3 linked regions of the Xenopus tropicalis genome follow. The protein of the gene in region 3 interacts with the protein of the main gene of each other region in a pairwise test. Links are inferred from orthologs where the notes say so. Each region holds a gene or a part of one and is shown on either strand. Other genes may lie near its edges.

Region 1 (2,660 bases), on a different chromosome or scaffold from region 3:
TTGAGTTGGCCAGAATATAAATTCTTGTAGGTTTCTGAGATGTGGGAGATAGGAGTTGCCCCAAATTGGGAGCCTAGCTGAGACCAATGGTGGGTTTCTTTTATGGAGTTTCAGGGCTGCAATCCAATTCCTAAACGGCACAGAGAGTGTAGTGGGTACTTAAGGGAAATCGTTAGCATGTCGGTAGGGAAAGTTACTCATCCCTTCTATTGAGCCCAAAATGAGAGCCTGAAGTGTCATGTTTGGGTTATAGGGGTCTGGGAGGAAGCACCAATGTAGATAATATATCTGCGAAACCATGTAGTACAACTGTAGATTTGGAAGCGCCAACCCTCCATCTGCATAGGAGGCAGTTAGTTTCTCCTATGAAATACGGGGTTGTTTGTTGACCCACAAAAAGGGAAAAAGTATTTTATTAATTTTTTTTAAATACTTTGGCAGTGAAATATACTGGAGCATTATGGAAAATATATAAAAACTTTGGTAGATAGATCATCTTAAAGATGTTGACTCGCCCCCATAGAGTTAGTGGCAGTTTGGCCCAATTCTCCATATCATTCGTGAGAGAGGTTATATCAGGGGTTAAGTTGTGGGGTATATATTAATCGAGACCTGAGTGTATTGTGATGCCCAGGTACTTGAAGGAGGAGACCCATTTGAGAGGAGTATCTACTGCCAGGGCTGGAGGGCTAGGATTGTCTAGGGAATAGAGGACCGATTTTTCCCAGTTTATTTTTAATCCTGAGAAGTTCCCAAATTGGTTGACTGTTTGCAGCAGGGCAGATAGGGATGCATCGGGGTCAGCTAGATATATAAGGAGATCGTCTGCGAAAAGTGAGACTTTTTCGGTTATTGTTTGATAGGTGAGGCCTTTAATAGATCGTGAGTCCCTGATACGTATAGCCAAGGGCTCGACTGCTAGGGCAAATAAAATGGGGGATAGGGGGCATCCTTGTCTTGTACCCCTCGTCAGGGGGAACAAGGCCGAGGTAATCCCATTTACCCTGACACACGCTTTTGGAGCGTTGTATAGAAGTTTTACCCATGTGATGAATCTTGGACCCAGGCCAAACTTTCTCAGCGTTTCCCACAGGTATGGCCATTCGAATAAAAGGCCTTGGCTGAGTCTAGAGAGGCGATGATTCTGGAACCTTTCTCTGCGTGTGTCAGTTGCAAATTGGTGTATAGACGTCTGATATTGAAGGCTGTAGACCTTCCTGGCATAAATCCTGATTGATCAGGGTGTATGAGGTCAGCTATAACCCTCTTGAGCCTATTAGCCAGGATTTTTGCTAGTATTTTTGCGTCAGTGTTCAAGAGGGAAATAGGGCGATAGGAAGAGCAGTCAGATGGGTCTTTCCCTTGTTTAGGGATTACCACTATTTGAGCTTCTAGTTGGGATGGGGGGGGGGGGGAACATCTTTGTATCATATGCATACTGTAGGGTTTTCAAAATGTGGATTGACATTGGTTTCGATAGGGTTTTGTACCACTCCGAGGGGAGTCCATCTGGGCCTGGGGTTTTATTGGGGGGTAGGTCTGCTATGGCCTGTTCTATTTCTTTGGTGGATATTGGGTGGTCTAGGAATGCCCGGGAGCCTGGGGATAGTGTCGGTATTGTGATAGTATCTAAATATTGGGAGAGTTGAGTAGGGGTATAGTTTACCGTAGAGGTGTACAGTTTTTGGTAAAACACTGCAAATTCTTGTGCTATAAGAGAGAGCTCAGTGACCCATCTCCCTGTTGAGGTTTGGATTCTTGCTACTGCAGAGGGAGAGGTTTGGGCCTTGGCTAGAAAAACCAGGAGTTTGCCATTTTTGTCTCCTTTTTCGAAGGTTCGTTGGGACTGGTATAGGATAGCTTTTTTGGTGAGAGTTGTTTCTTCTCTCTCTAGAGCATTCCTGGCTTGGAGTAACTTATTATAGGAGAGGTCTGAGGGTGAGAGAATGTGTTCTCTCTCTGCTTGGGTCAGCTCCTCCTCTGCTTGTTTCACTTGGCCTTTAGCGTTGTTACGGGCCTGTGCTATTGCCTGAGCTAGAGTTCCCCTCACAGCAACCTTAGATGCATCCCAGACTGTACTTGGGGAGGCCGTGTTTGTGTTGGTAGTCCAGTATTCCTCATAAGCCTCTACATTTCTGTAAGCCATCATTATTATTGTTTTTTCATGTATCTTTTACCTGTAAATGATGACTCTCTTTTTCTTTAGGGGAGAAAAAACGTCCACCATCCCCTCTCTTTCTAGCCATAGCATGGCGATGCCTGGACTCATGCAAATATTTCTGAGAAAGAAAAAGATTGTATTACACAATGCAGCTGGACAAAGGTATATTTATGGTATCAAAAAAATTGTAACTACATTTCAGCAGTGCATTTTCCAGAGCATTTTGCAATACCAAAGGCCCAGGATTTAATTTACCAGGCAGATTTCTTCCAACGTGGGAAAGTCATTCAGCATATTAAGCACTCTAAGCAGTATCTGCTCTGTGTGGAGAGGTGTAAGAAAGAAGCATCTTATCTGCAGCTCATTTAAGATCTTGTGTGTGTCTGCAGGCCCTCTAACACCACAAATCAGATACTTTTAGAAAATTACATTTAAATGTAAAATTTTACTTTATTGGGGGTGTTACGGATGCCGTAGTTAATATAATCACTAAACTTGG
Region 2 (3,549 bases), on a different chromosome or scaffold from region 3:
GACTTCAGGAAGAGCTTTGTTATAGTTCAGGTACCACCAGGTGTCAACAAGGAACCCCATATGTAGTAGATATTCAAATACACACAGATTATAAACTTAACAGGCACCTATCATAGTAAAATGATTTTCCCCCATTGGAGGTGCACACTCTGTTTGGGGAAAACAATACTATTTGGGCCAGAAAATTCTCCCAGTAAAAAAAATGCCACCCCCACCAGGAGGGGGGCTCTTGGTTCAGGCGGCCATGCTGGGATTCTAAAGCATGTGAATAATGAGAAACGCTCCAGCCTGCTTATTACAAAACATAGCTGCCCACACTGCTAGTGCAGTAGGAGAATTACCTTGCCCAAATAGTACTATTTCCTAACCGGAGCTCAGACTATATTAGTCTGCACCTCCAGTGAGGGAAACACTTTTACTGTGATAGATTCACTTTAAAATACATTTAATAGACCTAACATGGGGAAAACCATTTACCTTCTCTTCAAATTGCATAATGTTAAGGACAAACACTAAATTGCTTGATAAACACTTTTATAACAATACTCAGAATATGTTTTCTTAGAGCCAGAAAAAATTCAGAAGGTCATGTGATGTAAGAGGGAAAATACGTATATATATATATTTATGTACAGTCATTTACAATTGTACACTTTTGTACAAAAAAAATACAACACAAGAACTGGAGTTAAGAGAAAGGTGCCCCAGCAATGAAGGATGGTTTAGGCCCATTCTGAGAAGAGAATTTTACAGTCAAGAGATATTAATTGTGGCCCTGCTGTGTTGGGGCTGCACTGCTGCAGCAGCGAGGGCACCCCTATATTCAGAAACATATAAAAATGAAACCACAGTTTAGGTCCTATGTACTCTGTGCAACATCTGTTCAATCATGGGGACCCCTCTGGTTTTGGTACCCCACAAACCGGCCAAACAAAGCACATGGGCTCCAGCAACATGCACTCCAATAAATATTAGCAATTATTATTTACAAAAAAAACAATACATTCTTTTTTGTAATGGAATCAGTGGTGCCCGCAGCTTGTACTTTGTGCACAATCCGGAAACTTAACACTGGGAGTCTTTATAGGAGGTAGATAATGCAGTCTCTAACGAGATCTCTTATTAATACCTACAGAGCATCAGGAAATCTTTGACTTGAACCATGATCCATTTTGGGAGATTGGGGACATCACAAGTAGGAAACAAGAATATTTTGTTCATTAAAAAACAGGCAGTAAGTTCTGCTTAGAAATCCATTCTATTCCACATTCGCAGTCTTTTCGGATGGGTGATGAGCAACCACAAAAAAAAAAACAGCCCCCAGAATTCTTCCTCAAAAATAAACATCCCGTTTATATGAAAACCATCTGGGTAAAAGCATAGAATATAGTGCAATAAGAAAATGCCATCATTATAGATTTATTGGTCCAGCTTGAGGAATATGCTGCAAAAAGGCAGCACTAGATACTGGCAGCTTCATTGTCCCGATACTGAAGTTTAATACCCCTTATTCCAGGTCTTGCAGATTTATTGTACTTCCTGTAAACTGAGAATTATCTGAAGCCACGTCCTCCTCTGTTGAAGTGTGAGGCTCCTGAAACGAAGGGACAAAAGCAGTGTGTGAAGGACACAAGCAATAAAGAATGGATGCGTTTGGGTTTCAGAACTGAAAGGAGGAACAGCTATGGGCGCTAAGTAGGCATACCTGCAGTATATGTACTGGCAGATCAACAGTGAGCTGGGCATGTGATGCTGGAGACTGAGCGTTCAGCTGGAAAGGCAGGTCTCCATCTCCTGGAGGATCATCCTGAAAGCAGTAAAGCAGCAGTACAGTGAGAACAAAGAAACCAACTATGCCAGGGGTGTCTGATGGTTTATTTCTTATATAGATTATTTATTATATAATGTCATTCTAACAAAGGGAACTGCAATTGTCCTACAAGCTACACAAGACTAAACACCATAAAAGGCTTCATGATTCAATTATCTCTGGGCAGCGCTGTGCAGTGTAACAATGAAAAACAATCTCCATCTACTGTAAGCATTTGAGGATGTGTGTAAGAACAGTGACATTCCTGCTCTAGGTAATAAAGGCCAAGGGACAATCTACAGCAGGGATCCCCAACTTTTTTAATTGTGAGCCACACACAGATGTAAAAAGTGTTGGTGAGCCACACAAGCATGAAGAAAGTATCTTGAGAATTTAAAATAAGGACCGTGATTGGCTATTTGGAAGCGAAGTGAACTGCTGGCCTGCAGGAGACTCTGCTTGGATTATAGTCTTTGTGCTTCCAAAACTTGCCCCAAGCCAGAAAGAGAAATATTGGCACCTACTTTGAGGCCACTGGGTACAAGATAAGCAGGTGGCGGGGGTGAGCAACATGTTACTCATGAGCCACTGCTTGGGGATCACTGGTCTATAGCAAAGCCCAAAGCTTTGTCAATGCCATTTACCTGTAGAAGCTGAATCTGCACATACTGGGCCCCAGTAGCAGGGTCTCGTAGCGTCAGTCCGCCATTAGACATAACTGCGTTGCTTCCAAATCTGCTGCCACTGGAGGATGCCACTGGGCTCTGCTTTGCACTTTTGCTCTTCCTCTGTGTAGGTGAAGTCCCTTTATTTAACAAATCCAAATAGAATATGCAGCAGTCAGAACAATTATTATTATTAACATTTATTTATAAAGCGCCAACATATCCCGCAGCGCTGTACAATAAGTGGGTTTCATACGTTGGACATACAGAGTAACATATAAGCCAATCAATAACTGATACAAGAGGTGAAGAACAATCATTCTTTTACGAAAATTATTTCAGTTGCGTAACAAATCTGTACAATTTATTGGGCTTATTTGTTCACCAGGAAAATGGGCGTTTCATTTTTATAACACAACTATCATAGGCATTCAAGCTACTCAGTATTACAATCTCTCAGCCACTTTAATTCTCCACCCCTTTACAAGGTTTTCCCTTACTGCCCCACAAAGGAAGCACCACTGGTTACACATAATGAGCATTTCCTACCTGCACCGGCAGAACCCCCCTTCTTTTTGCTCTTGGCTAGTTGAATGGCTCTGTAATCTGTTCTCGCTGAACCGCCACTCTCCTGTTTAAAAGAATTACATTTCCAATATTAATCCTCAGAATAACAAGGCTTTTCAATGCTTTTAACACCAAATACAACATATAGCTACTTACCAAACTGGAGCTCCCAGCTGTCAAACTGTAATCCATCTCTTTCTGTGCACTATAACTACCAGTGGGGTTGGAGAATGCAAACTGTGTTACAACTTTACTTCCTTCCTGTTCTCCCACAACCTCAGGGTTTGGAATCAAACTCCTGTCCGTTTTTGGTGGGGTCAGCAATTCTGGCACGGAACTGCTAGCTCCAAGGCTCACTGAGGGCGTTAAAGTGGAGTCAATGGTCAGACTATTACTGGATGTCAGACCTTGAATATCCTGGCTTGAACCTCTCATGGATAAAGATGCCAGGGAACCCAAAGCTTCTGCATTCACTGTCTGCACATCATCTAACTGTAAGGTGCCCTG
Region 3 (4,123 bases):
GACCCCAGAGCTGACACGCGTTTTGGGTTCTGTTAAATCTGTAAAACACAGAGCGCCAAATGAAGCAGGGCGTGGCTTCCCTATGCAGACTCCGCCCATTATAACCAGCAAATGGGGGGGGGGGGGGGGGTGAGAGTTTAGTGTATCTGCCATGCTGAAATAAAGACCCACGTGGAACCCCATGAAAATTCTGAGGAGACCTAAATGCAAAAGAGTCAGGGTGTTCTTGTTGCCACAAAGTCAGTTCCGGGGTATGGACTGGGGTATTAGAGGCAGTAGGCATTCTGCAACCATGCTTGGGGGCTACATATACCCCTGTACTGCTTCATACTCATACTTTGGGGTTTATAAATCCTTCATGGTTCCATTTCAGGGGCTGCTGGGAAATGGAACAACTAATGTACCAACTGTAACAGTTGCTATGGGTCAGACGTTAGTAACGCTCAGGGAGCATACTCAGTAGGGGCTGAAGGGGCTGCTGGGAAATGGACCAACTAATGGACCAACTGTAACAGTTGCTATGGGACAGGCATTAGTAACGCTCAGTGAGCATGCTCAGTAGGGGCTGAAGGGGTTGCTGGGAAATGGACCCACTAATGGACCAACTGTAACAGTTGCTATGGGACAGGCATTAGTAACGCTCAGTGAGCATGCTCAGTAGGGGCTGCAGGGAAATGGACCAACTAATGGACCAACTGTAACAGTTGCTATGGGACAGATGTTAGTAACGCTCAGGGAGCATGCTCAGTAGAGGCTGAAGGGGCTGCTGGGAAATGGACCAACTAATGGACCAACTGTAACAGTTGCTATGGGACAGGCATTAGTTATGCTCAGTGAGCACGCTCAGTAGGGGCTGAAGGGGCTTCTGGGAAATGGACCCACTAATGGACCAACTGTAACAGTTGCTATGGGACAGGCATTAGTAACGCTCAGTGAGCATGCTGAGTAGGGGCTGCAGGTAAATGGACCAACTAATGTACCAACTGTAACAGTTGCTATGGGACAGACGTTAGTAACGCTCAGGGAGCATGCTCAGTAGGGGCTGAAGGGGCTGCTGGGAAATTGACCAACTAATGTACCAACTGTAATAGTCCAACCAATAGTCCAACCTCCTACATACAGCGACAGAGCCGAGAGTCCAACAGTACCTTCTATTTGATCCCTGGACACGGAGAATTCAGCTGCAAGTTCTGCCTTTAATCCTAAAAACATCAAAAATAAATAGAAATCATTATTTCGCAATTATGGTTCATTTACAATAACCCAACAGAACTCGGCTCCCCGGTGCTCTGGGCCCAGCGCCCGGTACACATTGTGCAACTTCCAACGAAATTCCGTTTGGGGCTCAATTTGGTATGATCCGAGGGCAGAACAAGAACTTTGTGCCCAAAGGTAACCATGGTAACGACCCAGAGTTCCTATATCCCACAGGAGAGAATATATGGACACAAACGGAATGGACCTGCTGGTTTCCCTTTGGGCTAAACATTAATCTGTAACAATGGCCCCTTTATTGGAGCTCCCTATAGATCCTCTCAGGTCCCTGTCTGGGTTTCATATGAGGGGTGGGCGTGTCCCAACGGTCCCTGCCAGAAGCACAGTAGGAGTGGGAGAACCAATCACAAGCACAGACAGCCTTCGGGTCCCTATCAGGTCAGCCTAGCTGCTGATTGGTTCCTGTGCTAAGGTGAAGTGGGCGGGCCTGGGAAAGGAACCAGCAGGAAGTGGGACAGATGGGCGGGACTAGTGGAGTTTTATAAAGATATTTTCAATAAATACACCCAAAACACTACTTTTTAAAGCCCATTCCTTCTATAGGGAGATAAGTACAATTCATATGTTTTTTTCACGCAATATTTCCCCTTTAAACCCTAACAGGTTCCAATTTCATTGGCTAAAGCCGGAGATCACGGATTGGGCAACTGGATTCGCATAAATGCGGTTCTACGGCCACAGAGTGAAACCCGCGGGGCTGGGAATCCCTTCGGCCTGAGGAAGGGGGCAAATAAAGGCCCAAACGTTGGGCGCGCACATCTCTATGATATATATATATGGGCCAGTTGGCCAGTACATGACAGGGATAGCTGTGTGCATTCAGGCAGCCATATATATATATATATATATATATATATATATATATACACACAGAGTCAAACCCGCGGGGCTGGGAATCCTTGCGGCCTGAGGAAGGGGGCAAATAAAGGCCCAAACGTTGGGCGCGCACATCTCTATGATATATATATATATGGGCCAGTTGGCCAGTACATGACAGGGATAGCTGTGTGCATTCAGGCAGCCATATATATATATATACATACACAGCAATATAATAATAATATAGTTGTGCCTGAGGGGCCCCTTGGTGCTGCCATTGTCCCACCCCTCACTTGTGTGAGCCCCCCATTCCCCTTGGTGCTGTCCCACCCATGGGTGCTGATGCTTACACCCCACTACAGACTCACAGCAGGGAGCCCTCACCCCTACACCATGCTCCTCCTCACAAAATAATCCCCATGAAGCAACATGGAGGTGGAAGGTTACATTGTGGCCTGGACTCCCGCACCCCGACACTGCAGGGCCCCAGGGCCTACCCGTACATCCTTCCCGCCCACTCGGCCTCTTACCTCCTCCTACTGCCGCGCAGCCCCGTTCGCTCCCAGGCTCGGTCCCGCCCCGGGGTTCCCTCCCCCCGGTCACACCCGCCGGACACTAACCGCCAGCTGCGTACAAAGAGGGGAGAGCGGCGCGGAGGGACACGGGCCACACGGCGCGGATGGATACCGTGACTTCATTTCCTCCGCGTCTCCTGATTGGCTGCTTGCCTGAGGCGGTCCGTGACGTCACGGCTGCAAGGCCCTACCCTTGATGGAATAGACAGGGGCAGCAACAGTGTGAAATAACAATGGCTCAATGTGTTTTAATATGGCTGTCACTGCAACAATATGGCTGCTTCTGTCTTTAATCAATGGCCTCCTGCTTCCCTGTTAGTAGCAATATGGCTGCCTGTGTCAGTAATGAAAATATGAAATGGCCCAATGGCCCTATTTAAAATGGCTTCCACTTTAATATTGTGGCTGCTTGTGGTACTAATGACTGTGTGTAATAACAAAGGCCTTCTACTTCCCTATGTGTAGCAATATGGCTCCCCTGTCATTAATAACTAAAAATAACAATGGTCCAATTTAATATGGCTGTCAGTGTCATAATATGGCTGCTTGTGTCAATAATAGTGTTTAATAACAGTGTCTTCCTGTGTGTAGCAATATGGCTGCCTGTGTCACTAGTAACTGTGTGTAGTAACTGTGTGTAATAACAGTGTACTATGTGTGTCAGTGTGTCATTAGAAAGTCTGTCATAACAATCTTTCTGTGTGTAGCAATATGGCTGCCAGTGTCACTAATAACTATGTAGAATAATAATTGTCCAATGGCTGTTTAATATGGCTGTCAGTGTAACAATATGGCTGCTTCTGTCTTTAATTACTGTCATATCAATGGCCTCCTGCTTCCCTGTTAGTAGCAATATGGCTGCCTGTGTCATTAATGAAAATATGAAATGGCCCAATGGCTATTTAATATGGCTTCCACTTTAATAATGAGGCTGCTTGTGGTACTAATGACTGTGTGTAATAACAATGGCCTTCTACTTCCCTATGTGTAGCAATATGGCTCCCCTGTCATTAATAACTGTAAAAATAACAATGGTCCAATTTAATATGGCTGTCAGTGTCATAATATGGCTACTTGTGTCAATAATAGTGTTTAATAACAGTGTCTTCCTGTGTGTAGCAATATGGCTGCCTGTGTCACTAGTAACTGTGTGTAATAACAGTGTAATATGTGTGTCAGTGTGTCATTAGAAAGTCTTTCATAACAATCTTTCTGTGTGTAGCAATATTGCTGCCAGTGTCACTAATAACTATGTAGAATAATAATTGTCCAATGGCTATTTAATATGGCTGTCAGTGTAACAATATGGCTGCTTCTGTCTTTAATTACTGTCATATCAATGGCCTCCTGCTTCCCTGTTAGTAGCAATATGGCTGCCTGTGTCATTAATGAAAATATGAAATGGCCCAATGGCCCTATTTAAAGGAACAGTAACACCAAAAAATGAAAGTGTA

Evidence for each region. The genes of interacting proteins can lie anywhere in the genome.
Region 1: the proteins of pogz (region 3) and nfya interact in binary tests that used the Homo sapiens proteins (3 or more experiments, as listed by UniProt). The two-hybrid records come from large-scale screens. The link is inferred for Xenopus tropicalis from reciprocal best matches to the Homo sapiens genes POGZ and NFYA.
Region 2: the proteins of pogz (region 3) and zxdc interact in binary tests that used the Homo sapiens proteins (3 or more experiments, as listed by UniProt). The link is inferred for Xenopus tropicalis from reciprocal best matches to the Homo sapiens genes POGZ and ZXDC.

Annotation. Positions count from the first base shown.
Region 1 is NC_030678.2:71,392,301-71,394,960, forward strand, and holds part of nfya (nuclear transcription factor Y subunit alpha), read right to left. Parts: intron 2,280-2,660; coding exon 2,178-2,279; intron 1-2,177. UniProt on the Homo sapiens protein: Component of the sequence-specific heterotrimeric transcription factor (NF-Y) which specifically recognizes a 5'-CCAAT-3' box motif found in the promoters of its target genes.
Region 2 is NC_030680.2:133,011,592-133,015,140, reverse strand, and holds the end of zxdc (zinc finger protein ZXDC), read right to left. Parts: coding exon 3,199-3,549; intron 3,110-3,198; coding exon 3,025-3,109; intron 2,616-3,024; coding exon 2,455-2,615; intron 1,808-2,454; coding exon 1,706-1,807; intron 1,595-1,705; coding exon 1,508-1,594; 3' UTR 518-1,507; downstream 1-517. UniProt on the Homo sapiens protein: Cooperates with CIITA to promote transcription of MHC class I and MHC class II genes.
Region 3 is NC_030684.2:144,795,513-144,799,635, reverse strand, and holds the start of pogz (pogo transposable element with ZNF domain), read right to left. Parts: upstream 2,833-4,123; 5' UTR 2,625-2,832; intron 2,501-2,624; exon of another isoform or gene 2,479-2,500; intron 1,203-2,478; 5' UTR 1,149-1,202; intron 1-1,148. UniProt on the Homo sapiens protein: Plays a role in mitotic cell cycle progression and is involved in kinetochore assembly and mitotic sister chromatid cohesion.